4 linked regions of the Mytilus edulis genome follow. The protein of the gene in region 3 binds, or shares a complex with, the protein of the main gene of each other region. Links are inferred from orthologs where the notes say so. Each region holds a gene or a part of one and is shown on either strand. Other genes may lie near its edges. The genes, in order: RNA polymerase II subunit A C-terminal domain phosphatase-like, DNA-directed RNA polymerase II subunit RPB2, general transcription factor IIF subunit 1-like and general transcription factor IIH subunit 4-like.

The links.
Region 1: the proteins of general transcription factor IIF subunit 1-like (region 3) and RNA polymerase II subunit A C-terminal domain phosphatase-like are in contact, whole or in part, in an NMR structure (PDB 1ONV), measured with the Homo sapiens proteins. The link is inferred for Mytilus edulis from reciprocal best matches to the Homo sapiens genes GTF2F1 and CTDP1. Residues at the interface, in NP_002087.2 of Homo sapiens: Thr470, Lys471, Leu474, Gln478, Ser486, Thr489, Val490, Leu493, Ala494, Leu497, Lys498, Leu500, Asn501, Pro502, Arg504, Met511, Phe513; in NP_004706.3 of Homo sapiens: Ala946, Asp947, Met949, Ala950, Lys951, Ala952, Leu953, Glu954, Glu956, Leu957, Asp959, Leu960, Met961.
Region 2: general transcription factor IIF subunit 1-like (region 3) and DNA-directed RNA polymerase II subunit RPB2 share a complex: the UniProt entries of both Homo sapiens proteins name them as parts of the TBP-based Pol II pre-initiation complex. The link is inferred for Mytilus edulis from reciprocal best matches to the Homo sapiens genes GTF2F1 and POLR2B.
Region 4: general transcription factor IIF subunit 1-like (region 3) and general transcription factor IIH subunit 4-like share a complex: the UniProt entries of both Homo sapiens proteins name them as parts of the TBP-based Pol II pre-initiation complex. The link is inferred for Mytilus edulis from reciprocal best matches to the Homo sapiens genes GTF2F1 and GTF2H4.

The regions. Positions count from the first base shown.
Region 1 is NC_092348.1:7,253,497-7,261,342, forward strand, and holds the start of RNA polymerase II subunit A C-terminal domain phosphatase-like, read right to left. Parts: upstream 3,004-7,846; 5' UTR 2,873-3,003; coding exon 2,667-2,872; intron 1-2,666. UniProt on the Homo sapiens protein: Processively dephosphorylates 'Ser-2' and 'Ser-5' of the heptad repeats YSPTSPS in the C-terminal domain of the largest RNA polymerase II subunit. This promotes the activity of RNA polymerase II.
Region 2 is NC_092347.1:65,787,927-65,795,750, forward strand, and holds the start of DNA-directed RNA polymerase II subunit RPB2, read right to left. Parts: upstream 3,013-7,824; 5' UTR 2,855-3,012; coding exon 2,836-2,854; intron 1,966-2,835; coding exon 1,739-1,965; intron 1,390-1,738; coding exon 1,277-1,389; intron 1-1,276. UniProt on the Homo sapiens protein: Catalytic core component of RNA polymerase II (Pol II), a DNA-dependent RNA polymerase which synthesizes mRNA precursors and many functional non-coding RNAs using the four ribonucleoside triphosphates as substrates.
Region 3 is NC_092344.1:32,398,430-32,405,527, reverse strand, and holds the start of general transcription factor IIF subunit 1-like, read left to right. Parts: upstream 1-4,097; 5' UTR 4,098-4,218; coding exon 4,219-4,248; intron 4,249-6,577; coding exon 6,578-6,627; intron 6,628-7,098. Other genes in the region: uncharacterized protein, read right to left, coding at 1-56, 477-633, 2,709-2,783, 3,134-3,168, 3,842-3,908. UniProt on the Homo sapiens protein: TFIIF is a general transcription initiation factor that binds to RNA polymerase II and helps to recruit it to the initiation complex in collaboration with TFIIB. It promotes transcription elongation.
Region 4 is NC_092345.1:75,549,981-75,556,898, reverse strand, and holds the start of general transcription factor IIH subunit 4-like, read right to left. Parts: upstream 3,012-6,918; 5' UTR 2,888-3,011; coding exon 2,772-2,887; intron 1,225-2,771; coding exon 1,120-1,224; intron 306-1,119; coding exon 174-305; intron 1-173. Other genes in the region: valine--tRNA ligase-like, read left to right, coding at 3,221-3,454. UniProt on the Homo sapiens protein: Component of the general transcription and DNA repair factor IIH (TFIIH) core complex, which is involved in general and transcription-coupled nucleotide excision repair (NER) of damaged DNA and, when complexed to CAK, in RNA transcription by RNA polymerase II.

The sequences.
Region 1 (7,846 bases), on a different chromosome or scaffold from region 3:
ATAAACAAACGACAACTACTGTACATCAGATTCCTGACTTAGGACAGGTGCAAACATTTGCAGCGGGATTAAACGTTTTAATGGATCCAAACCTTCTCCCTTTTTCTGAAACAATAGCATAACATCACAACAAAGAAAAACATACGATAAAATATCAATTGGCAGACTTAACTCAATCAAAAAACGTATGATTAAACAATGAACGAATAAATTTGATCTGCGATATCTGAATACAAATGCACAGTTAATTAAATATTAGAGACAAACATTCATGACCAAAAAGCTAACAAACAAATTCAAAAACAGGACATGACTGAGAAATATTTAACCAATCAATGTACACTTTAGAAAAAAACCGTTTTTTTTATAATCTTGAAGTTTATACAAATGTTGTAAGAATAAGTGAAGATATTACAAATAATCAAAGCTGGTGTACAGACAAGATCCGTATAAATAAAAAATGACAAAAAAGCATTATAAACAGTATCAACAGGTCGAATTAACACAAGCATTCCTTGGTCTTCAGGGTCAAGATAAAGGTAGAAAAATTGTCAAAATTTACGCTTTTTGCACCTGATGACCAAAGATGGTGAAAAAGTTGGGCAATTTATAGGTGTGGGCGATTTTCCAGTAGGGCACTTTGTAATAGTTTCTGTATATTCGTTCATAGCCTTCCTCTGTTCGGATGAACTTTAAATGACAAATAAACACAAAAATTGATTAATATTCAACTTCCTGTGAGGTACTCTATAAAAAAATTTTTAGCTTAAGAAAGCAACAAGATTCTAACAGGAAAATGACTTTTATTTTTATTCATTACTCTGTACTCCTGAGTGATACTCAACTGTAATCATTAGATTTTATCAATTTATAAGTGGGTTGGTAAACAAGAGTGAAGCAATGACAGGAGTAAATTGAACAATTTTTGATAGGTGGGGGAGTTGACAGGAGTAAATTAAACACATGTAAACCTTTCGCTAATCCCAGTTGACCTCAGAATCTGTCCCAGTAGAAATATTGATGTCATACAACAATCACTTTTACATTTGCGTCAGATATTTTGTATTATGATGCCAAAATTTTAGAATCCGGGTCTGTTCACCCTGACTCATGTTCGCCCTAGTACCTGTTCGCCTAGGGTCCATTCGCCCTGATACCCGTTTGCCAAGGGTCCATTCGCCCTGATTTTTTTTCCTTTCTAATTGTTGTCTAGTCGCATTATTTATAGTATTTGAACAAAATATGTAAAAGATTGTTGAAAAATTGACAGAATATTTATATTACTGCGATCAATTTATCATTTTCCCTTTGATTTGCAGAGTACAATAGTGGAATACAATGTATTTATCTTTATTGATATTTGTTAACAAAATAATTGTATTTAGTCAATCACGAAAGTATGCTTAGTTTGGGGCCCTTTATAGCTTGTTGTTCGGTGTGAGCCAAGGCTCCGTGTTGAAGGCTGTACATGTACATTGACTTATAATGGTTTACTTTTTTAAATTGTTATTTGGATGGAGAGTTGTCTCATTGGCACTCACATCACATCTTCCTATATCTATTAGAGTATAAATAAATGAACTTAATTGTAAATCCGTTTCATAATTAACAATTCGTACATCATTGTTTTTATTAATTTCAAGCTGAATATTTTATTAAAGCGAAACGATTTTTTATTAATAATCCATCAAAAGACAAGTATCACAATAATCAGTGATTTGAATTTTTTTGTCATTGAACAATTAATGATCCTAAAGAAGGTATAAACTTTTAAATACTTCAAGGTTTCCATAAATTTCAAGAATATACATGATATATACATGCATACCATAGAAATATCTGAACAAGTTTATTCAACTTCAATGCCCTGAATATTAATATTTTAATATGGGGACGAAGTCCCCAATAACAGTAGAAAATTCAATAAAAAAAAAAATTTGGGAAAATATCCCGAATTTTTCATTGTACTAATGAACTCAAAATCGTTCAATTTTTTTTATGTCATATTTTGAGATTTTTGAAATCCCGGACATGCGCAGAAATGTACAATGTACTTTCTTTTTCCGGTCTCGTTTGTATGAAACTTTGAGTAAAATATATATTTATCAGTCTAGTATAAAATAGGAAGGAACGCGCAATACCAATTTCATTTTTAATAATTCCTTGATATGAAAAAATGTTACCTGATGATAGCGTTTCTTTGTTTACATTGCATATGAAGTCATAATCTAAATAACGTCACAACTAAAATCCCTAACAATAGAACCAAAATCGGAAACGTTACGATATTTCCGTTTCTTTTATCAACATGTTTGAATAGGAAAAAAATTAATACAGACTTCGTCCCCATTAACAGGTAATGCCTGCCTCATATTAGTAGGACAAACGGACTCTATGGGCGAACAAACTCAGAGCAAACAGACCTAGGGCGAACATGTTATTAGGCGTTGGAAGGCGTCACAGATTTTTTAAAAAATAGCCTTGCAAGACGTCATAAAAAAAGACATCATTATTTGGACTAAAGTGGGGCGAGTTGGCAGTAGATTTAAATGGATTCAATTCTTATTCATCAGTGGTAGTTGGTTAACAAGTGTTTAGACGATTTTTTCATAAGTGGGGCGATTTGTCTTGCTTCCGTATTTTTCACTATTTCAGTATTTGTTTACCCTGGCGGTTTTCTGTCACCTTCCTGACCCATAATTTCACAGATAGTGCCAACTTCATTGGCTTTTATCTTCAGACCTTTTGCATCATCAGTTTCATAAATGCACAGTATGGCTCCTTGATTGACTTTGTGTCCTGGTTTTACTTTCCATTTTGTGATTCGAATATTTTTATTTGGAGCGCGAACTGACTTCATGGCCGCTTCCATATTGACACCTCGCAGCAAATTTAAGTGCAAAACTTAAAAAAGATAGAGTGTATTCAACAAATATAGGAAAGATTTAAATAAAATTTCATTTTGAAAACAAAATGTATCATTTTAGATACCAAGAGGATATTTAAGTAGGGTATAACGTAAATTTAACCAATCAGAAGTTACTGACACTTATTCTGCCCATGGCGCTTTTTTCGAACGACCGACCGAAGGAATGTCAACAGAATTTATTGATAGATCTTGTATGAGTTTTTAACGTAATCAAAATTGATTTCTAACACACACTAAGTTCATTTAAAACATGTAAAACAAACAGAGCCAGGACTGTAACCAAAAGCCCTAAGACAGAAAATATACTTTTTGTTCATTTTTTTTTTTAAAAGGGGGAGTTGTTTTGATACGAAATTAAATACTTTGGGTCATACTGAACAGAGTCTCCTGTATATTCCTCAGATACACACCATCAGCTTCATATGGTTCGATATGAGGAACTGTTGCATGCACAGAATATGTGATTATGTCTATGATGGCATAAATATATTTGTACTTCATAACAAATTTTAAAAATGGTGTTATTATGATAAGAGGCAGGCAATACCTGTGAATGGGGACGAAGTCTGTATGAATTATTTTTTTTGTAACTGAAATATTTGTTAAACAAAAGAAACGGAAATAACATAAGGTTTCCGATTTTGAGTCTGTTGTTAGGGATTTTACTTATAGCGTTATTTAAGTTATGACGTCATGTTCAATGAGGGGGGATAAGAGGGGTCCTGATCCCGAAATCCCAGACTTAAAAAAACGAATTCCCGAGGTCCCGAATTTAAATAAAGTAAATCCCGATGTCCCGAAATCCGAAAAAAACTATTCCCGGATCCCGAAAGGGTCAATCCCGAAATCCCGAGCTTAAAAACACCCGATCCCGGAGTCCCGATAAAGGTCCTATCCCCCCTCTTCAATGACAATGTATTAAAAATAAAGAAACCCAATGCATCAGGTAACGTTAATTCATATCATAGGCAAAGATTTCAGGGCCATAACTAGCCTCTTTTAATAGTGAGGCCAAATATATTTGCTGAGCGTAGCAAGGTCAAATTTTTTTTGGCATGGGGTCTGAAGCCAGAATCTTGTGTATGAAATTCAGTGTTTCTCATAAAAAATATAAAAATTATTAAGCTGGGCTTAATATATTGATATTAGTATATAATAATCTCAGAGTTAAGCAACTTTAATCAATAGTTTAAAAAAATCCATAAAAAATATAGGGATTTATCAGAGATGAAAACAGTTTTTTTTTCCTGTCAGACAATGGGGCCTAAAGGCTACCAAGTTTTGCCAGACCCATCAAATTTCTGCCAGACCCATATTTTCACTCAAAAATCAAATGAAATTATGCTATTGAACAAACGTTAAGCTTTATCAACTTGAATAGGTGACTGGTTTGGTCTTTTACCGGGTTTCGACCCACTTACAAATTTTATCGGCCATGACATATTTCCTGAACTTATCAACTATGCTTAATAGACCTCCTTCCTAGAGAGCGAATTTCTAAAACAAAAAACATGACGGAAATACGGAGAATTGTTCGGGACGAGATGGACAAGGTACGAAAGACTATTACTGGGCGGAAATACTGGTTCCCGGAGTTAGAAAATGCGGGGGAACAGGACATTTACTTTTATTAAAGATGATCGCAATTTTATAAACAAAATACTCTGCCGGGGCCGACGGGGATTTCAGTTTTGGCGGACCCAAGCGGACTTAAATATTGCCGGCCATCAGGTCCTGCACAGCTACGAGTTTTGCCGGACCTGCATAAATTCTGCCCCTTAGGTCCGACGGGTCCGATGATTAGTTGCATCTCTGATTTATATACACCAATCAATTAGATGTAACCAAAAGTCTCTTAATGCATGTGGAATGCGTAATTTCCCCCTTTGGGATCAATATTCTTCTGTCAGCTGTTCCATCCGTGTGTCCGTAGTAATTATTGTAAAAGTACGGATTTCGGTCATAGCTGGTCCGGTTGAGATTTGTAGTTTAGAAATCGGTCAATGGCGGACGAATGAAAGAAAATTTACAAAAATAAACGATGTTTGACAAGTTATTTGGAAAGGAATATGACGTTTTTAATGCAATAAATGGATTAACATTTACTGGAGGCAAACTTTATCACGTTTAAATGAAGTAACAAACTTATTTTGCTACCGAAATTTAGGTTGATGAACGTTTTCGAGTAACAGGCACCGGAACTTGCGGAAATGCACGAAGTGATAAAAAGTTGTATTTTTATCAAATAACCTGCTACATACTGCAAAGACAATGCTTCAACCTCTTTTCTAAAGATAATGAATCGTTTGTGTCTGAATTTCTTTAATTATCAATAAAAAATTGATGTTTCATCAACTTGGTAAAAATTGAAAATGTCCGATGACAAAAGCGACTGAAAGCGAGTATCGTCAAGAACAGGGAGACTTGTTTTCGCTTTTGGGGGTTGGGGAAAGCGATGTGACGGTCGGAAAGGCGACTTCTTCGCCCAAGTCGCCTGGTAGCGTGAGCCCTGCCTTTTATACTATAATAAAATCCAGACATTGTAGCGCACCACGCGAATGAGCACTTCTCTTTAAAATCTCACCACTTCTCCCTATCAGTTTTAAAAAGAGAAGTCACTTCTCCCTATAATTCTGAAGTAGTGTGAGCCCTGGCTAGACTACTCAAAGTCTCCTGACAACAAGACCGGAAGAAGGAAGTATATTTCTGCGTTCTGCACAAATGTGGGAATTAAAAAACATGATGAAAAAAAATTTGAATAAGCTGCTTTTTTTTTTAATTGGTTAAGCTCTAGATCTCAAATAAGACTTTAAAATTGGCATTTGCTGCTTCTCTGCAGTGTATGTCTCTGTCAATTATGGCTAAATTATGCGAATTATAGTCATGAAAAATACCAATCAACATAATTGTTTTATATAGCATTTATCATCTGTAAACTAAATGTTTAAATATTTGTTACGTCAACGGCACATTTTTTTACTATCCACCTCATATATTGTAATAAAATTTATAAACATATATAATACAATTCATATTGTGTTACGAAAATATACAGTTTCACAATAAACTTTTAAATCTACAGGCCCCAGAGCTCAAATTTTGGAACATTTTGGTTAGATACTGGTGTTTTGTATATCATATGATCTTTACAGGCCAGGAAGCAATTTTACAAGCCTGGGTTGCTGGGCCTGTGGTTCAGCGTGAAGACTGACTCTAGATAAAAACTGATGAGGAAAGTAACAACTGGCCACAGGAAGCTTGATTTTTTTCCTAGCCTAGGTGGTTGCATAGTCTAGCGTGCCAGACATTGTGCAAGGCGATTTAGTGCCTCAATGTCTTGGTAGCATGAGTTTGAATCCAATCCAGGGAAGAACAAAAAATTGCCTCCAAAAAATTTAAAGATCTAACATTGTTGGGCTGTTATTTAGACAAATTATATATACAGAATTTGTTTTCTGGTGATCCGATGGATAAATCTGTTGTAGAGTTGTCACTGGTTTAGATGTTCTTATAATACTTATTTCTGTGACTGCAGCCTACATGTACATTAATTTGTAAGATTCTCCACAATAGATAATTCAGCTGATCTGTAATATTCCATCCTCATGCCTAATATATCATGAAATATAGAAACTGTTGATTGATCAATGATGTTAGATAATTATACTGTAGATTATCTTTTATCATCTGAACAAGATTGTTTTCTCCTTTGAGCTGGTACGGCAAAACGAGAAAAGCAATTGAGTTGAGATGACCAATGATAATCTGTTTATCGCTATATAACCTATGACGATGTTGTCAATTTCATTAGCAACTCCACATGCCTCCTTAGTTTCTAGCGATAATTGTCCATCTCAAGCGAGTAGCATGATTATCAGATATGCAAAATTATCATCTAAAAAGATCAAAGGAAAAATGCACAAAATAGTGATAAATTCCTGCAATTACTTAAGCTTAAAAAACTTGTGTTCAAATAACTGAATTGTTTCAGCCTTCGATTTCAGCAAAAGAAGGTGACACACTGGGTTCCCTGGAACCCTTAAGCAGGGTTTCCCTCGGATCTATTATTTTTTTCTCCACCTCTTTAGCCATTGTTAGCCAAAACAATATATTTTTCGCCACTTTAATATTTTTTTTCGCCAAGTAACATAAATATATTTTTCTTTTAAAATTTTCCTTTTTTTACCCCTTCCACCCTAAATTAGATGATGTTGCCTCATTGTTGCCTATGAATATTTTTTCAAATTTATCTAAGAGTCTACATTGTAATGAATAAACCTTAAACATTTACTTTTAAAACGAAGAACTTTTTTATAACTTAAAATGGGGAACATTCATTACATTTTGAACAAATTTTCTAAAAGAGGGGGCCACTTACTTTAGATAATAAAGAAGATATAAGTCCTGGAATATAACAAAATTCTTGGACATGTTTTGACAATATAATATAAAAAAGATGTACAGTTCTTTGGGAAAGTTTCTTCAAAAGAAAAATATGTGCCCTTTTGTACTAAGACGTGTTTTTTACAACAAAACAAAAGCTTTTATCACTTGAAACTGATCCCTCATCTATATCAAACACAAAGAAAAACGTTTTTAATCAGAGATTTTTCTTGCTTTTGGACATCTTTCGTCATAACAACAGTTTTTCTTTTCTGGACTATCAATAAAAAGAGAGGCGACGTCAAAAATTTGATTCGAACACGTGCGCCCCAAAGTGGTTAATAAATTCTTTGTGTGACATATGAAGGACACCATTTAACCATATCATTTTGTTAAACAATACAATCAACACCTTTATTAGTTAGTCCTTTGTTGTGGATTGCTATAATATGCAATCAGCTGATTATTGATTTTCTGTCAAAATACTAACGAGTTCAAGGTGAATTACGAGTATTGTCTGATCAGATAAAGACC
Region 2 (7,824 bases), on a different chromosome or scaffold from region 3:
TATATGCAACTGATATCATGACCTCTTAAATAGTAAACATTTTAAAAAAAAAACCAGTAGAGTGGACAGAATACTTCGGAATCATTACTCCATATAATAATTGCAGTGATATTGTTGTCTATTTTCAAAACTACCTCTACCGTTTTTTATTGGGAAAAATGCATATTTTTTATTGAAATTGGGAAATATTATTCTAAACACATCTCCGATTATTGGCTGACCTTTGCTGTCTTTTTTGCACTGTTTTTTCATGTATATTTTGGTTGTCAGACATTTTCAACCCGGAAGGTTCTTTTCGGAGAGGGGAAAGAAACAGAAGCAATGATGGTACTTAATGCATTGAAAACCACATGTGTTACAAACACCATGATGATTCTGATCAGAAAACCGGATCTCAAAAGTGCTTTATAATATCAAAATAATAACATGAATACGATATTTACAAACATTACTACCAATGCCATCAGTTTTGGGAAAATGTAGACCTTTTTGGGAGGAATTTTAAGCCATTTTTTTTAGTAATTGGGAATTTTCTCTAGGGGAAAAGGCCGAATTTCGGCTGTTATTTGAGGCAAACAATATCACTGAATTGGGAACTATATTCCAAGAACAGGAACAAAGGGAATTAATTGTGGTCTGAAGACTTCTGTATACTATGAACATACCGTCATACGTATATTAATAATAAAGTGTATTTGCTTTCAACTATTAGTTCCAAGTTTCCTTTCCAAGGCAATCACTGCTATAATTACATGTATATAGAGTCTCTATATATTATAGTAGTTTAATCATATATAGTATACATGTAGATAAACGCAAAATTATTGACCTCTCTCCGAGTACTATGAAAATCATCTGCAAGTTTAAATCCAGAAGTCTTATCTATGACTAAAAGTCGGTCTGACGACGGTAACAATATCCAAACGCCTTTTTTTCGTTTCTCTCTCAAAAGAATTCAATTTGATTAAGCATAAGAATGGATGACAAATGCGACTATGCTTGGTACTTATAGGACACAGAGGCATGATGATTGATTTATTGTGGAAGGAAGAGAAGACACACAAAATGAGGTCTTCTCGTTTAATAGTATAGTTGTGTCAACTTTAAAAAGATTCAAATTTATAATGTCACAATCCCTGAAGGTTTATTTATTCCTATGAATTCAATAACCAGGACAACTGAAAATTTTTTGGGGTTAACCAACGTAAAAGACTTATTATTGCGCATATAGTTACATGTACATGTAGCATTTTTCCATATAATTTTTATAACTTACGTAAGATTCCTTAGTCGTGCCTCATTTGGCATCATAGGACTAGGAGCACCATCTTTTTCCCAATGAGTTGGTTTAGACAGATAAATCTGTTCAAATTTCAACAAGTATCTAGGCTGCAAAATATAATTTATGTTTATTATGGGTTCTACTATCATGACTATAGATTCACTATATAATGTGTCCCTGTAAAGTGTTTGCTTATAACAATGTTTAAACGCAAAAACATATGTAACAAGAAAAATTGCACAAGAAAACAATGTTATGATGTTTACACACTTTTCGAACATATTCATTTTCACTGCTTATCTGTTGATGCAGGTCACAGATTATAAAAGATTTATGACAGATGTACATTGTATATTTTTAAAGTAGTTGAACTTCTACTCTTTACAACCGAAAATATATTAATCTTTTAATGTGACCAAATTAGCTATACTAAGTGTCTTGTCTGTATTGACTTACTGGAGTTTCTACACCACCAGATTTATGTTGTGCCTCAGCCTGTAAATCTATCTGTGGTGAATCTTCTACGATTCTCTGTACTGACATCTGAATAAACTCATCAAAGGAATCTAACTGCTGTCTCACCAAACCTTTTTCGTCGAAGTAGGAACTGATGACAATCCAGCAGGCTTCCTGCCATAAATCAGGGGTAATTTCATCACTGTCCTCCTCTGCCTCATGCATATCTACAAAATACATGTTTTGTTTATAAGTATTTGAATAGGAATAGGGTGTGGAAAAGCAGATAAAACGTAAAGTAATCTAGGTCCGGGTCCGACTCAGGGCGAACATGTAATTAGGGTGAACAGACCTGATACCAACGTATAGGGGGCAAACAGACCCAATGCCCAGGAAATCTCCCTCTTACCCAAGCCCTATCCCCTCCAGTGCAGGAATGAAATTAAGTGATCGTTAAAATACATGTTGTGTGCACATTGACATTGGTTATCTCCATTGACCATTGTAGGCAGTTACTTTTTATTTTATTCAAGTATTACGAAATCCCGACGTTTTTTATTTTTGGATTGTTTGATTTTTCCTCGTCAAGTATTGTTTTGGTTGTTTATGTTGTCAGTTGAGACAAGGATTTGTATAGTATAGTTTACTTTACAAATCCTTGGTTGAGAGGATGCCATTGGCTATTTTTTTCTGTTCTATGGACTGTCAGTATCAGAACCTATTCTCTAGACTTAGCAATGGATAGTCTTTCACCAGCTTGTCAATATCTGTAAAGTTATTTTTCATACTGATATGTAAATACCTTTGTTGTCATTTAGTACATCAGTTTTATCAAAATTTCTTCAGAGCCACTCACTCGAATAATTTCTTCATTTATTCCCCAAAACTGTAAACATGGCCCAATGTTTTCCCCATTACTGTAAAACCATTTTTAATTAAATCTTCTGGTGATCTCTTTATCATACTTAGATATATATAATCATAATAACTGATTTACAGTTTAGAGGACTTTAGAGAGATTGAAAAAAAAAATGCAATGTTATTGTTTGAAAAAGGTATAAGTACTCCAGGGGCGATGTGTGTATATCAGTTCTAACCTTCTTCTGGTAAATACATGTTGGTTTCGTATAATTTACAACCCTTTCTTTATATTCAGTTAGTTTTCGTATCAGATGACTGTGGATTTCACAACTAACTGACGCGTTTGAAATGCGCCATTTAAATGCCGGCAATTTGAGTTATTTATACATATAAACATCTGTTCGATACTTCTCGGGTTTTTAAAAAAAAAATATGATGATGACCGCAAAAATAAAAGGGACATTATATACCACTACGACCCTAAATGTTTTTATTCATCGACATTATTAGTGCGGTGACAGAAGTGTAAAAAGTCGTCTAGATCGCGAGTTTAATCTCCCCAAATAACACACGGCTAAAAATGGTCTTAACTTAAAGACAAATATGTCTTCTTTAGTTTTCGCCCTTTCGTCAGAATTTCGTACGGTCACTTTTTTCTAAAAAGTCGTTTTAATGACTGGTAGTATATTGGAGAGTTTCAACCCCCCTGTTTCAAAATGAAAAAAATGTGTATGTTTTCTTACATTTAATTGAAATAGTTTTTCCTGAAGCTATTTTTATATGTCATAATATTCCATTCAGTATTTTATTTTCTTCTAATCTATAAAATTTGCGAAGTTTAGACTATTTGAAATTGAGGTAATTTTAATTGCAAATTCAGACTCAAACTTTAGTTTCCTCTTCATAGTAGTAATAAAAATTATCCCATAATATTTTAAGCATATAATATTTAATAAAACTAATTAGTGATAAAAATTTCGGAAACAAAATATGAAAAAACCTTAAGAAATCAATGAAAAAAGAATGAAGTAAATATCTTCAATTTCAACACGGAACTCAATCAGTTGCCTTCCGTCACATTTTGTGTATTAGTCAATAATTTGCTCTCAAATGATATATGAAATTACTACCTTTTTCGCTATTATATACACATATTTTCAATTACAGTGCACTGATATATGCCACATACTTTGTTTGTATATGTTTATATTCTATGTTTTTTCGTTATAAAACATCAAATATACTTTGTCAGAAAAGTCTTATTGTAAAATTAAAATAATTGACGGATAGTTTCAGTAAATACTCCGTGATATGTCAAGTCCTTTGCAACTTGCTCCATTAAGTTCAAAGAAAAGACAAAAGTCGTTGCATTTTATGCAGTGCATAATATGCCAAATAAAAAAACCTCGATTGAAATTTTGAGTCAATTTACCAGTTTAGGGAAGTCGATTTTTGTATCTGCATTGCATAAAAGATTGGATGAGGTGATCATGAACATCAAGCTGTTTCATACAATAGCTGTTAATTTGAAAAACTCCGTGCAGGCAGTTATTCATCGTTCATGCTACAAAACTTACACAAGTAAACATATTTGTTCCCCCTTTTAGAGCGAGGAAGATTCTTGTCTAATATTTAATGACGACATACAATTATCTGACTGTTGTCCCTCAGTTTCGGGCAGATATTTCATTCCGCTGCAAGTTTACTTAGAAAAGACATCGAAACTCTAAAGAAGACTACCCAATTTCGGATGAATTTTCTCTTCGTTTTTAATTCAGCCAATGCCTTCGTATTTATTGCAATTCATTCTATGGTTACTCAATGAAAATGCATACAGCCAAGACTATTCTCATGATATGGCACCGGAGAAATTGTGGAAATGCTTAAGCAATTGTTGAGGCAATCGTTTTTGTTTTACTCCTTTTCATTTAGGATTGGCTTTACAAATGTACCATGAGTTTGGTTCAAAACATCTTGTTGAAACATTTAATGCCAATGGATTTTATGCTTCTTAAAGTAAAGTGCGACGCTATCTAATGTGTTGCCAACCATGAAATTGAGCGAATTCAAGATAGTGCGTACGTCTTGTATAATGTTTCCCCAGCATCTTTGCAGACAAGCATATGGATGTCATCACACCTTCCTAAACCTCCTTTTAGATCTCTTTTAAAATCTTGGATGAATTGATAGGGATGGTTTGAAGCTGGTATTTTTTTTAGGAACAAATGTGTTCGGACTTTCTACAATACCTTGTCTGTACTTGAAAAGAAAAACTCAAAATAAAGTGTTTGCTTTGAGCAGAACCTTTCATGTGCAGACCTGTGGCCATAAGTGAAATGTGTAGAAATATTAAAACATGTCTTGTGACGGTTGGTGAAAATGAAGATGATGGAGATAACGGTTGGTTTGGTATAAAGCTTGTTGCACTGGTACACACGATTCCAGTCCGAGGTTAGGGGAGTGTTGACGTGCCCTTAAAAAAGTTAAACCCCGCCAATATCTGTATGTGTCTGTTTCAAGTCACGAGACGGTAATGCAGTGTTTCTATATTCTATATTTGTTTTTTTCTTATTTATTTTGTACATTAATCAGGTCGTTAGAGTATTTGTTTGTTTTACATTATTCATTTCGGGAATTGAAGACTATGCAGTATGAATTTTACTCATTGTTGAAGCCCGTACGGGACCTATCATTGTTTTATGTCTCATTTGGTCTCATTTGGAGAGTTGTCTCATTTGCAATCATATCACATCTTCTTTTTTTTTATATGGAATACTTTTGAAGTTTGGGGTACGTTGCAAGGGATAAAAGGGGGGACATAGTTACAAAACCTATAATGTAATAGATATTAACCAGAGTTAAATACACAACAAAAGATAATACTATGGTAGCAGTAATAATTGTGAAAAAAAAAACCCAAAAGCAACGAGTAGTCTATAAAAAAACTGAAGTATCCGCAAATTCAATTTGAGGTCATATTTGACTGTAGTGTTCTATGGCTTTGTTTTGATGACTCACCCACTATGATAGTTTAAAAAATAATTTTAAAGTATTGTCCTGCATGACACTTGATTTTTACCTGAAATTGATATTTTTCATAAGGTTAAGGTGCTTTAAACATTTTATAGGTTGAAAACTTGATTTTTGAAGTTTTGTTTATAAAACGTGGTTTTAGGATCTTTTTTGATAAAAAAAATCTCAATGATTAAGGTTTATGTATAAAAACAAACATTACTTAAGCCAAAACAGTATCATTTATATATAGGTAGAGTTTAGAAATAGAAAAAAATGTCAAAATTGAAACCCTCCCAAACTTTCACAGATTTTTACATATGACCTTTGACCTCAATTTTAAAAAAATGTGACCACATCAAGTCCTGACGACAGGCATATTATTATAGTACACGATTTCTTCTTTCCAATGATATATTATGTAGATGTGTGTTCGGTGGGGAGATTAAATTCCAAAAAATCTGCCTTCAGTCACCGCACTATATGGCACATATTCATCAATAAGAGACACAAGCAGCCTAAATCCGCAAAATCTTGTCTCAAACGCTAATGACAGGCATTTCATGTCTCCGTTTTCTTTCTTTTTACTTTTTATATTACATATATAAATTCTTTCGATTGTTAAGCAGTCCTGACGCAGTTTTCTTTATTTTTTCTTCAAGTTTTATAAATTTTTCTTTATGCTGTGACTGGAATTTTTTTTTAAAAGAGGGGTGAAAGATACCAGAGGGACAGTCAAACTCATAGATCGAAAATAAATTGAAAACGTCATGGCTAAAAATATAAAAGACAAACAAACAAATAATAGTACACATGACACAACATAGAAAACTAAAAATTAAGCTACACGAACCCCACCAAAAACTGGGGGTGATCTCAGGTGCTCTGGAACGGTAAGTAGATCCTGCTCCACATGTCACGGGCACCTGCCGTGTTGCTCATGTTATACCAAACCCGGCAAATAGTCTTATTCAGTAGGTCATATTCATGAAAAGCGAAGGGGATTGTAGTTTTAACGTAAGGGACATATATATATATATATATATATATGATATCATCTGTGAAACGGGCAAATTATTCCATGACGGTCGACCAACTCATGATGGCGTCCGTAAAATTTACGAAGGAATGATTTCAACTTGACCTTTTTGAACTTATGGTTTAATAGCTTATTTGTGAGCAGCAACTCTGTGAAGAATATCATGATAGGAAATACAAGCACGGGAATATCGTATCAATTGGGAGATCAATTGGGAGATATATACTACTTAAGTAACTAGTAAACGTCAAACTGCAAAGCTGTTGTTTATTTATTAGAGTTAGATAGTAAGAAATAAAATATGTTGTCAATCAAGAAATCAGGCATCTTGATAATGTCAGTTTCAGAGAATTTTTAACGTTTTAAACGATATGATTTTGATTCTTTTATGTTGACAGTTCACATTTTATAGTACTTTTCAAACGTGAATATTAAATTTCATTCTTTACAAAGAATCTGCAAAAATAAAAAAAATCACTATGATATTGCTGGTGGCGGTAAAATAGCCATTTCTATAGAAAAAATGCTATTTTGCAGGCTTGAAATCGAATATTTTAATCAAAGCTGGCAAAATAGTCACTGCCTTTTGATCACTTAAATGCATGTTATGTTTAAAACTTGTTTTATAAATGTATTCTTGTTCTTATTTCACGGTATCCTACATTACAATGACAGTAGTTTGCTGCACCACTATCCTTAATGTTCCAATGGGAATAGTATATATAATGTTCCAGTAGTTTTCCGCAGCATCAGCATTATGTTTAAGAGGGTAAGAATATGTTTATCATCGGTGCTAGTTAAAGCCTGTCCAGGGACAGTCTATACTAGTATAGAAAGTCCCTGGACTGTCTTAAACATACAGTGAGGTGAGAGGATTTGTTTTGCTCCGTGTTGTATGTCTCACTGTGACTGTAAGACAAAGAACAGCAATGAAAGATGTTTTCCTTTGCTTTTTCTGGGCTTTATTGCTACAATATGAGTTAGACGTATTCATTGTCTTATGGAAAATACAAAAAAAAAGCGAAGAAAAAGACAAATCCACAGATACACAGAATACTACACATCTGAACAGTAGTGAGAGAAAATATGTAAAAGGTGTGTTAGTGATATTTTATAAATATGAGGTAAAATATTGAAAACATTTCAATGACCGAGACCTGAAACAGCTTAAGGT
Region 3 (7,098 bases):
TGATATTGCCATTTGAACAGTCACAGATTCATCCGAATTCAATTTCCTCTTCTGTCCTAAAATAACAGAAGAATGTTACAGACAAGAAAATATTGGTGATCAAATTAAAAACAATTGGGAATATGTCATGGGACACAGATGATGTTTCTGCATTTAAAGGGACATAACTCAAGAACAATAAAAGTGCATGAAACAAACTATATAAATTAGTAAGATAACAATATTTTCAGAATCCTAAAGACTATGCAAAATGCAATTTTTGTATAAAAATAAAATTAAGCTATTCATTGAGTATACATTACTTTGTTATGGATACTCGTAAGAAATCACATTGTCTTGGTGTGTGATTTTAATAATAGAATGCCTAAGACTCTGAGAATTTGTTTGTGTTTTGAAATATAGTTTTCATCAATGCCACTGGATGAAAATGGAATAACAAAAATCAGGTTAAAAATAACATAGGTTTAACATACAACCTGTTGTATAGCCTCTCTCTACCCATGGAATTTGCTTTACTTTGGGATCAAGCTTCCTCAACTTCCATACAAATGCTTTGTATTGTCTTTGTAAGTGATCAATTTTCAGATTAAATTCTTTAATTTTTGCTTCAGGGTAACATGGTACTTGTGATTGCTGAAATAATGAAATAATCAATGTATATTTTCCATTTCTTTTAAATTTAAATACATCTGAGTAAAAAATTGGAAAGTCATTTTATTGACTAATTTAACAATTCTTAATTAATCCAAAAAATAATACTCAGAAAAATAACACATCCTAAAGTTTCTCTCTCTCTCTCCTTCATTTAAATTTGTAATTGTTATATCAAAGGAAGATGTAGTTAAAAGGTAATATTTTTATAATGCAGGAATGTGAAACTGAAAGTCGTCAAAACACAGTAATATAAACAAACTATGAAAAAATAAGTTGAAAGCCATTTTTTTAAATGAAAGAAGGAAAATATTTAACTTCATTAAAAACCCATGAAACTTTTCTAAGTTAAGTATGTTATTATAAATCACTTTAGTATGTTATTAAATCAGTTTGTTTTCTTTTTCTCTTTCATCAATATTGATAGTTGTTTTTAACCCTTTCAACGCTATACACGGCATATGCCGCGATGACATACGCCGTTCGCCACTGCTATTCGCGGCATATGCCGCGATGACAACGGATTTTTCATAAGGACTCTTAAACCATTCGGTTTTCATTCGGGTTCTCTCTAATTTTTCCTTGTATGAATCGAGGATATGCAAGGTCTCATTTGCGCTTGAAATCCCGACAATTTTTATTGTAAAATCATGCAGTAGAAGGAAAATTGAAGGAAAATAAAAACAAATATTTTGACAAATGCAAATGGCGGAAATCGGAAACGAAGCTGTAAATATGGAAATATTTCAGCATTTCTATGGCGAAACTGATGACGAGGATTAGTTAAAAGGTTTCTTGTTATCTCAATGTGTTTATTACATTCAATTCGTGTGGGAAATATGATTTGATCGATCATTACGAGACGTAGAAAAAGGGGGGAAAACGGAGGTTGACTGAAAATTTTGAGGACGGAGCCACTGATTTGTGCCATGATTACATAATACGTTGTGTATGGTGCAATACGCTACGGAATCGAGCAATTGGTGTCTTCTTTATTATATGGCAGATAAAAAAACAAAATAGATGAAGACGAAAAGTAGTTTTTATTCAAAATTCAACACAAATGTAACAAATTACACCTTTTACCTGTTAATTACCTGAAAATGCAGATAACCTGATAAAAATTTTACTGAAATAACTGCCTAACATTACAGTTCATACTCTCCTGTGCATTTTTCATGCAATAACTTTTTCTGTATCTCTTATAATAAAAAAGATACAGCAGTCTGAAAAGGAATATACTGTTCTAATGAATGAACACAAAAAAAATGCAGCAGCAGCAGCCATTTTTCTATTTTTTTGTGTAGCGTTGAAAGGGTTAAATTAAGGGAACAGCAAATATTTGCCATCATCTAGAGCACTTCCATCCAAAAGAATTGCTGTATTGCTCCTATAATAATAGAAATAATGCATAAGGACTTGAATTTAAACTGATTTTACTACTGGTTGACATTTACTGTTGATATTTTACCCCTCCATATCACTTTTTGTAAAATATTCAGATAAATATGCTAAATATTTTACAGGGAGGGATACAATTTTGGCATACAGGGTTAACCTGTGGTAATATCAGTATAAATTCAAGAACCTATGAACCACTTCTTTAATATACACATACTACACAAAAATGTACAAGTTCTTGCATGTTAAAATCTATTTACTTACTAACTAAGTGAACAATTTCTTATGTACCGGTATACAGTTTTTTTCATATCAATATCATAATTACACGTAAAATAAATGTTCATGTGGTTATCTCAAGTAAGATGTTGCTTTATTTTATGAAACGTTTTTGTTTGTTTGGCAACTTAGTGTTGAAAGCTAGTTTTTATAGCTACTTTTGTTTCCTTTACAAATTTTCTTTTTTTCCTGGGACTTTAACTAATACATATATTGTATAGACACATATCTATTGTTAAAGACTGGATATATTTTGAACACATTTATTTTGAGTGTTATTGGGGTGCTGCGGCACTGCTGACTCACTGATATAAAATAAAATTTGAAAACTACACATAGAAACAAAATTGAAACTGTGACAAAGTAAAAGAAACTACCTTCAAACAAAAGTCAATATCATCTTTAATACTTGGTATCCAGTATCTGATGTCTTCAGCTGTATTGATTTCATCCTGTTATAATAAGAAGTAGATTTCCTTTATTGATAAATACAGATTCTCTTTTAAAGGAAAAAGAAGCAGGAATAGGTATATAATTCCCTTATTCACCTGGAAACATAATACATCATGTTGAACATACTTAATTAAAATTTCATTTTCATAAATTAAGAACAAGAATCCATCTCCCTAAGGCACAGTTGACCGTAAGTATTCACTCATTCCTGGCTTTCAAATGTTTGTTTGAACATTCCTGATTCATGAACATAAATTCTAAAAATAGCTTCAAAGACACAGAATTTATCAAGTGTTGATTTAATTTGTTAAACACAATGAATATAACAAAAAAAAACCTAACAACATACCAATCTAGGTCTTTTGGGATTTTTCTTCTGCTGTTCTGAAATATAAATTAAATCAAATGAATCAAAGACCCAAATGGCAAGGTGGTGCAGACATTTTAAACATATAATACAGGGCTGCCAAGTCTCACGCATGTTCATGCTTTTTTGGCTGCATTTTCCTTTGAACTATTGTTTTTTCTCTTTGATCTTTTCAATTTTGGTCATTAAATCTCACGCATTTGCTTCATGAAAAGTTGGCAGAACTGTATATATAGTTTCTTTAAACAAAAAGAAGAATATCTAAAATGTGTCACTCAGTAATGAATAACCATGGACTTTCTATACTTAGTACAGAAAGTGCCTGGAATAACCAGAAGAATTTTAATATGTTATATAATCATGATAATAGAAAATTAATAAAAGATAATAACAGTTTAAATTCATCACTTTTACTAGTACTTTCACAGCTTTCACAGATCTGCAAGTAATGTGACTTGTATACATAAGTATAATATAAAACAATTCATTACTTTTACAAGTACTTTCACTGCTTTCACAGATCTTCAGGTGTATATAACTATAAGAAATATAATCAGAGACATATATACACATATATGTCTCTGATATAAATATAGAACAATTTTATATTTTACTATGCCTGGCCCTTTTTATATAACTTGTTAAAAATTGTTATTTGACTGCAACTTAAGTTGATATTAAAGTCAGTACCATCTTTTTGTTGCTTCAACAATAACCTATTTAACCTCCCAAGTTGTTTCTCCTCATTTCTGGCCATTCTTGTGTTATTTTCTCTTTTTGGTCAATGATAATTTTCTTGCTTTAATTGTTTTCGTATTTTAAAAAGTCATTGCAACTGAAGTGTCTTGATAGCTGTTTACTTCTTTTAATAGATAAAAGTGATCCTTTATCAGCCTTTTCTCTTTTCCTTTGAAATAACTCTTCACGAACTGTCCATTTGAGAATAATATAAATCCGAAAACATTACTATAAAAACGGCGTTGAAAATTTTACCGAAAACTTATAATTTTTTTATTTTTTTATTTTACGAGTTAGAAAATAGCCTATATAACTAAAACCACATTTTGATGGCAACGCCAATCAGTCAGCCACAGGTGGTAAGATTAATTTGACACATTATATAAGATGATACAATACAAGTCCTCACATCAGCTATCAAACACTTTATCGAGGATTTGTATAGTATACAAATCCTTGACTTTATCATGAAATTACCAGATTACCACATCCATGACATCGGAAAATATCAGTACAAGTACAAAGGCAAATACAACTTTAGGCTTTATACGACTGAATCTTGGTAAATGTCAAACGAATAATATGAGGCAGGCATTACCTGTAAATGGGGACGAAGTCTATGAATTATTATTTTAATTCAAATATGTTGATAAAAGAAACGGAAATACCGTAATGTTTTCGATTTTGGTTCAGTTGTTAGGGATTTAAGTGTGACGTTATTTAAGTTATGACGTCATATTCAATGTAAACAAAAGAAACGCTTTCATCAGGTAACGTTTTTTTCATATAAAATGATAAAACGATTATTAAAAATGAATAGGGCTCTTCACGGTTAGTTCGGCCATATTGGATAGGGGGCAGATTTTCATAATAGAGGTAAAAATGGTGTGAAAAATACGGGAAAACATCATTAAAACAGAGCTGTTGCTTGGAAACACACATAGGATTTCCCACACTTTCATACCATTTCCACCTCCTTCTAAAAAATCTGCCCCCTATCCAATATGGCCGAACTAACCGTGAAGAGCCCTATTGGTATTTGAGTTCCAATCCTTTATTTTACTTTACTGATAAATATATATTTTAGTCAAAGTCTCATGCATACAAGACTGGAAAAAGGAAATAAATTTCTGCGCAAATGCGGGGATTTAAAAAAGTCTGAAAAAAATTTAACGATTTTGAGTTCATTAGTAAATGTAGTATATACTAAAAAATTCGGGAAATTTTCTCGAATTTTTTTTTTTTTCTTCTTTTTTTTATTGATTTTTCTACCGTAATAGGGGACTTCGTCCTACATGTAATATAAAGCGTTAGATATATATGACCAACACTAGAATATGCTAGCAATGTCTGGGACCCACATCTCCAAAAACACATACAACAATACATCTTATCACTATTTGTCCGCCATTCTCTGGTATAGAAAATCCTATCTTCGAAGGAGTACTTTAATTTGCACAATGACAAATAGAAATGGTTATAAACATAAAAAGACATATGAGGTATGCCTTGTGGGATGAGTGTTGGTTACTGTTAAAGACCCTTACGCTTTTTTGATCATACAAGTTTGTAGTCTGTGTAGAGCAAAGCAAAGCTTCCTCATTATGTATTTTATAGTGTAGCAAGCATCAGTACATTTACACTTGCAACCACAGTCACAGATAAAGCTACTTGGATCCAATATAAAGTTAGTGTCTAGGGTGACGTACTATGGGTACATTTCATGCACACATCAATACTACATATTATGCAGATAAGGTGCACAGATTTCATGCAGAACTGGACATTCCATAAGAAAATAATCTATTGTTTCTGGCCTACCCTAGCACAATAGGCATGTTGGATCTACTGTGTTACTGGACATCGCAATAGTTCCCGTAAAGTTTTGACGTCACAATAGAAAATATCTGACAGATCAATGGAAATGTGTTTGCTGTAATGACGTCAACAGTTCAAGCAGGATTAGCCATAAGATGTATGTCAATGCAACTAGAAATGATCCAAAGGCAAAGGAGAGCAGCCAGATTCATCAGCATGAGTATACTCGAGACCCATATATTAGAGGACCTTATAAAACTACCACAACTACATAAGGGACGATAAACATCATGTTTACTCCCTTTTCACAAAATAATCCACCAATTTATTGCAATCCCAATTCCAGAATGCTTGATGACACCAGCAAGAATGACACCTCTGCTCCATCAAAGAGAATTTGTCAGATTAGGATCATGTTCTGAAAAAAAGAAAGCATAGGTTCTTCGTAAGAACCATCACAAACTGTAATGAACTACCACCTAGCCTATTAGTCAAGACCAAACTCATATCACACAGATCTGTAAATCAGCACACACATGTTTTTATCTGCACTGGCACATGTATATATATGTTAAACACCTGAACATGCTGAACATATGATTTTAAAAGAGCACTTTTTGATGACACAACTTTAATTTTAACTTAATTATGTGTATGATGAGTCAACTGACTGTTTACGTATTACCCATGTAGATGTAGATGTAGACATCAGAATATATAATCTTCTGACTAGTGACTAGTGTTTTTCCCAAAAGAAAAAATGTTCATTCAGCAAGCATTGTATTTTAAAGTTTACTCACACACATATATACAGATTATATGAATCAATTATACTTCTGTAATCTCATGATACTTTTGTTACTTTTATAGGCTGCAGCTTCTGGCAGTGCCACACAAGAACACAGTGTAAGAGTTCTCAAGTAAGTTGTTTATGCTAGAGGAACCAAAAATTTTGTTACTAACTTGGGACAATATAACTCATGGAGTACCAATTTTTATGGATTTTGTTGGGATTGATGAACCACAAAGTTAAGTGCTCAAATAATCTTTTCTCCATCCAAGAAAATTGGTATATTGTAGATTCAAAAATTAATTCAATCCAGTTATATTTCTATCTTAGTATATAAAATGCATTGGACAAAAATCATCTAGTCCATTTGATGCAACAGCATGAACAGGATTGTTAAAGTAACCTGTTCTGATCAAACCAAATATTAAAAATCATATGCATTTTCTGTTCTTTGTCGGGGTTGTTGTTGCCTTGACAAATTCCCTCCATTTCCATTTTCAATCTTGTTGGATTTCACTAGCAAATTGCTTCTTATATATATATCATGTATATATTGGTTAGATTTAGTGACCTCCAGTGAAATATATTGAAATGATCAACC
Region 4 (6,918 bases), on a different chromosome or scaffold from region 3:
TGATAGAAAAATCTTGGGTGAGGTGACAAATAATTAGAACCACACAAATCATTCCAATACAAAAGATGATGTCTCATAAAAATCAGGCATTTTGACTCTTCTTAAACATAAACTTTTGAAATAAATCTGTATTACATTTGCATTAGATAATTGAATATTTCTTTCATGTTTACCCTCCAAGTAAGGCTATTTTCATATTCTTTCTGAAAGTTTGATTCATTTTCCATCCTTGAAGTCCACCAGTCATAGTCTCTTCGTGCCATACTCTGAGGTCAGTTAATGCTGTTACTGCTTGTTTCTGTTCACTGTAATTCAAAACATTAGTGACAAAATTCAGTACTTTTTGAAAGACCAGAATGTATAGACACTGTTATTTTACAATGTCGGATTACTGATAAATGGATGTTCAGTTTTATACTTTTTATTGATTCATTTTGGATAGCTAGTCATTCTAGTGTTGTTGGGTTGCACTTGCAGTCTCATTGATGTTTTTCTAACATTTTGATTAGTTAAAAATTATTTGTGTTTTTTCAATGGGTGATTCATGTACACAATGATGTACAGTAGATACAATTGTACTGTTGATGTGATGTGATGCTCCCAAATTTTGTCTTTGTTACCTTACTTTGTCGCTTCTGAATTGATTTACAAGATGTGACGATTGGTAAACTACTTTTGACTTGATTTTTCAAATTTACATATTCCTTGAACTTGGACTTCTTAAAACTTGATTTTATTGTCTCTATGTAAACTCAATTTGTAATAGTAAAATCTACATTTAAGGAAGGCCAAGCATAAAATACTATACAATTATCTCCTAATTTACAGGCTTCTGACTTTGGACAGCCACATACAGAATGTGGAGTGTACTTTCATATCAGGGCCTTTTATAGCTGACTATGCGGTATGGGCCTTGCTCATTGTTGAAGGCCATACGGTGACCTATAGTTGTTAATGTCTGTGTCATTTTGGTCTCTTGTGGACAGTTGTCTCATTGGCAATCATACCACATCTTTTTTTTTATATTTACCATGCTTACAGCATGCATGCACGGTTCACATATATCGACAACTTTATTAGGCTTTAAAAGTGTTCAGTCTTACAGAATTATACACTTACTCTTGGTATTTGCTGTTAACCCACAGATTTACCACTGATTGTGATACATGTTGTTCAATAAATAACATCCGCATAACATAGTGCTTGGATAAATCTGGTAATTGTCTGAAATTGAAATAAACTAAACTATACACTATGGCGGAGGCATAGAATCGAAAATGCCTGTCAGTGTCAGCCAGCAAGGTTTATTTTTAAATCTAGAATTGCTACTTCTCTTTCAAGACAATTTGGCTACGCAAATAGTTTGGCCATAGGCTGATCCGGCCATAGTACCTGTTAAGATTTAAATGTTGTTCCAAGAAATTGTTAGGTTAATTCATTTGTTATTAATAAATTTAATTATTTAATGTCTATAATACTTGTAGATACTATTTTTGAGTACTTGATGAGCATACACTGAATGTAATGTTGTGCTCAAATAAATTGTAAATTTTCAAGTTTATGTTTTATGATGTTAAGCTTTTGATGTACATGCTCATATTACTTAACAAATAATCATGATAATCGTTTTGTCATAAAGTGTGGTCTGAAAGTAGACTATTCCAAATGATTATGACATATTGAAAGGCTATTTTATTTTTTGTGCCTAAATACTGAGCAGTATAAAGGCGTTAAAATCAAGAAAAAATAAATACCCTTTCAAGATGTCATAATTCAAGACATGATATATCCCGCTATGGTGGTAAGTCTTTCGCCTACATGTATTGACCTTTTTTTTTTCTTTTTTCGGTAGGCTAATAGCTTTGATATTTTTTGATCTTTCAACATATTCACTTGGTCAACATAATGAACATTGTCATGATAGTGTGCACGTTTATTTGAAAAACAAAACTGTAGAAAAAATGATAATTTTGATGATTCTGTAATATATGAATTCTGTTCTTGTAAAATTCGGTCATGAATTCGTTGTTTTATTTTACAATTTGCTTGGCCTGTTTTGTCTACCACTAACATGACTAAGATTGATGACGCTGAATGGAATTACACAAAGCAATGGAGGCTTGAAGTGGGATATTGTGAAGTTCTGAAATGTTTTTAGGAATTTGAAAGTCAGGTTTGAAACGGTCATTAGAGAATTGGCATTTTTGTACAATACTTTGGAATAACAGTGAAAACATATCTTTAGAAATGTATTCTTTATTTACAAGAGTAGAAAAAACGTATTGTGCACTAATTTTGAACGCTGGTATTAGCATAGTGACATCAATGTGGTTACCGTGTGATGAGTACAAACACAAATACCGAACGAACCAAATTATAAGATGACAGGTTTTAGACTACCGATAGGATAGTTAGTGGACAAGAGACTTTTGTATGACATGCATTAGAAAAAGACATTTTAAATAATGTTTCAATTTAACTGTTGGTGCATTACAAAGTATGACCGAACTGTCAGTATGGCCGAAATACACCTTATCGCTAATCCCGGCTGACCCGCCCGCTTGAACTTTTGACGCATACAACAATCACTTTTCCATTGTGGTGTCAGATATTTTGTTTTATGACGTCAAAATATTACGGGAACCTGTGTGATATCCAGCAATGGCGGACAAATAGCGATAAGGTGTATAACAGACCGAAACGACTGTGGCCGAACTGGCAGTCAGGCCAAAAGTCAAAACGTCTTGAATCGGTTACTTCGATGGACATACCTAAATACAGCCAAGCAAGTCGCAGGATGTGAATATAGTTTGTCTAAAACATGCCATGGTAAAGTTTTTAAGTAACCATGCAAATTTTTACAGTCCAATTTTCTTGTAGTTGCCATGCTTGCAAATTTTTTTTTATGATTTTTTCTTCTTCATTAATGTCAATAAATATCTTATTTTTTCTCCAGAAAATCGTCTTTTTTTAAACGCACAAATGACAATGAAAAAAATAGGACTAAATGTACCTTTCTACACAGGAGAACTCATTTCACGTTATTGCTTCGTTATCGAATTATAATGCGTAAAGTCATAGAACATTGGTTAATTCATTTGAAAATCAATAATTTCATTCAGTCAAATATTTTTCGACCCATATTGATACAGAAAGAATTGAGAAAAATAAACAAAAACATGGAGAGCTCTTTAGTGTGGAGGTACAAAATTGATTAAAGATGTCAGCCTCCTGGTGCAAATTGAAAACAAATTATTTAAAGTTCGGAATTAAGCTTTTTAAGCTACCTTGCCACCGAAATAATTTGATTTTTAATTCAGACATACGCCTTAGAGCATTATGCTCAATTTGTAACCAGAATCATATTCAATATTTTAAAACTGTAGATAGTCGAGAAAGTTTACTCCTTTTGAGGCAATCATCATCTTCTGTCAAACGGGATGTTCCCAAAAAGGTAACTCTCCTGTTCACAATTTTTTAAGCAGTTAAGCTGCTTTATGCGAGCACCCTAGATTTATGTTCTACCCAATAAATGCTGAAATATGTGCCGCTTTTATTTTCTGGCTGGCTATCATGTTATTTATAACTAATTGGGCATTTTTCCATACTTTTTATTTTAGAATATAAAAAATATTACCATAAAAACGTTAAATGGTCGTCGATTTTCCCAAAAGTTTTGAAGTTGCACATAGGAAGTAGTGCTCGATAGAAATCCTTCTATAGTTTATTACCCCCTGTGCTGTGGGCTAAGATGTCAAAGAACAATTATATGAAATATTTGATCGCTGAAAATCTATATAGATGAGTCTTTTACATTTCCCAGATGGCAAAAGTCGTAGGAATATTGTTTGTCATCGATACGTATCACATACGTCAGTAGTCTATATATAAGCTGATATAAGTTGGCGGCAATTTCAAATTACATAGAAGACGAAATTTACGTACCTTTTAAATTGGGAGAATTCTGATGATACATCGGTACTTTTATTATTAATCATTTTATTCGTTTTTTTGTCTGATTGAGATTATTTAAATCATCTTTATTCAGTAATCTGTAATGAATGCTCATTTGTTTTCTTTTTAATATTATTCCGATTTCTAGCAAATCACCTTCATGCTTGTCAAATTAAGTTGTTGTTATTGTAGTTTTCTGATTGGTTGATGTCAAGGTCATTTTAAGATTGTTTCGCTTTGGTGTTACACAATGTAACATAATTCTACACGTGCTTTGCTTAAGCTCGATGTGGTTCAATAAATATTGTGATGTAAACTTTAACAACTGTTTTCTAAAGGACGGCATTATTTAACTTCAAAGTCGCATATTTTGTAAAATATTAAGTCTGAATCTGTGACGCGTATCACACTGTAATTGTTTTGATTTACAAGGACTTCTCGATTTCCGGTACAGAAAAATACGACTTTTTTATATGTTTCTTTTTATAATTTTTCACATTTAAACACTCGTTAAGTGTTATTGAATCAATTCTATGCGGTTCCTTCAGCAACTTTATGCTGGTAAACGATTTCCCCCTGAAAATAATAAGAAAAGAAATCGCATGATAGGATAAAAAGGTAACGAGTCGATTAACGAGACTCGAGAAACGTTTAATATGTTTTCAACAAGTTATAGTTACAAACAAGTTTTTCTTAATTCTTACTATTACAGTTATTGAAAGTTTAAATAAATGTTTTTTTATTATGATATTAGTAATGGAAGACAGTTAAACCGTAATCAACATATTTTAATTCAGTTATAATTTGAGACGTAAAAAAAATCGAAAGTGAAAATGGGGAATGTGTAATAGAGACAATAACCAGATCTTAGAGCAGACAATAGTCGAAGGTTACCAATGGATCTTTAATGCAGGTAGAAACTCCTACACCCAAAGGATTGTTTTTGCTGGCCCCTTAACACAATAACCATGATAACAAAAATGTAAACTATTTCAACTAGTCACTTGTTCAGGTGGAACTTTATAAAATTTTAAACCAGAGGAAGAACAAAGTAACTACAATGTAGTTAATAAGTTCTGGAGAACTTTTCGGCTAGTTAGTTCTTTCCGCCTGGAACTTTCCAACGTCGGAACAAAAGAGCATTTACAATAACTTGGACATCATACTAAAATCAGAAGTTATACACAAGAAATTAATAAAATTTTTAAAAATGTACAAAACAATTATGAAAAATAAATATGATATACAGCAACAATCACCGCATTAGTGGGTCCTCACTATGGACAGGTACATACAGAATGTGGCGGCTTAAACATCTTAACTGGCACAAAACTCTCCCCTAAGATAGGACAGTGTATGTGTATAATCTCAGACATTGAATCTTTATGAATATAAATTGGAAATTACTTTTGAAAGTGGTAGGATTGCATAACATAAACATTACTGTACAAGCATTATTTGATACTTTAGAAATAGCTGAGAACAATGCCTGAGATAAATATTTCGACTAATTCTTTACACTATTCATCTGAACTTGGCCAAGTTTGCCTTTGGGTTTTTGATTAACTGCCTATAGCACCCTTTGGTGCTTTGATTATTTAACATTTCCTAAGACAGACACTTTTATCTGATACATGTAATGAGGCATGTGTCATACCTTTGAAAGAATGTGAAATCTGTTTTAGTATAATATGAGGCAGGCATTACCTGTCATGCCTGTAAATGGGGACAAAGTCTGTCATGTCTGTATGCATTTTTTTTTAATTCAAACATGTTAATAAAAGGAAAGGAAATACTGTTACATATCCGATTTTGGTTCTGTTGTAAGGGATTTAGGTGTGACGTTAATCAAGTTATGACATCATATTCAATGTAAACAAAGAAACGCTTTCATCAGGTAACGTTTTTTTCATATTAAAATGAATTGGTATTGAGTTCCAATCCTATATTTTAATATACTGATATTAAATATATATTTTATTCAAAGTCTCATGCATACAAGACTGGAAAAAGGAAATAGATTTCTGCGCAAATGCATGGATTTAAAAAAAGTCATTAGTTTATTGAAAAATTCAGTAAAATTTTCCTGATTTTAAAAAAAAAAAAATTTTAATTGATTTTTCTTCCGTAATAGGGGACTCCATCCCCAAATGAATGATTTTTGTTGAGCATGTTGAGCCTGTGACTTCTGCAGCAAATAGCTTGACATAGGTACAAAATGTATAATGATCCTGCTGCAGCTTTAGCTATCTTCTTAAAAAATGTATGTCGAAGAAGGTGGAAGACCTCATCTGGATACTTCCTACTTTGATTCGAATGTATATAGATTTAGATGCCTTAATTAGTTTATGAAGTTCCAGTCGATTCGAATGTATATAGATGCCTTAATTAGGTTATGAAGTTTCTGTTTGTCTTATGTCCATCATCCTTAACCTCATTTTCATGGTTCATTGACTTCTTGAAAAAAAATAAGTTAAGATTTTTTGTAATGTTAATTTCTTTCTTATCATTTCTCCTCTGTATGAAAATATTTTAAGATGTACACATTAGTCTGGCAGGTTTAATTTTACCTTGACCTCATGAATGGCTCATTTTCACAGTTCAATGCTCAGTGTTAAGTTTTGGTGTATTGGTCTGTTTTTCTCAAACTATAACCAATAGGTCAACTTTATTTGTAGTATGGAAATATTGTAAGCTGTGGTGTGTATGTCTGTCTGGCAAGCATCATTTGACCTTGACCTAATTTTCATGGTTTATTGATCAATCTAAAGTTTTCCTGGTTACATGTTAGATTTTTTCTTAGATACAACTATAATTAAAGCAAAGATTGATTGTAAAGTGAAAATTTCTGTCTGGCATGGTTCATCTGACATTGACCTTATTATTATGGGTAATTGGTCAATGTTACAAGTTGTCATGGTTAAGTCTGTTTCTTAGAAACTAAAAAAGAGGCTATTATTTGAA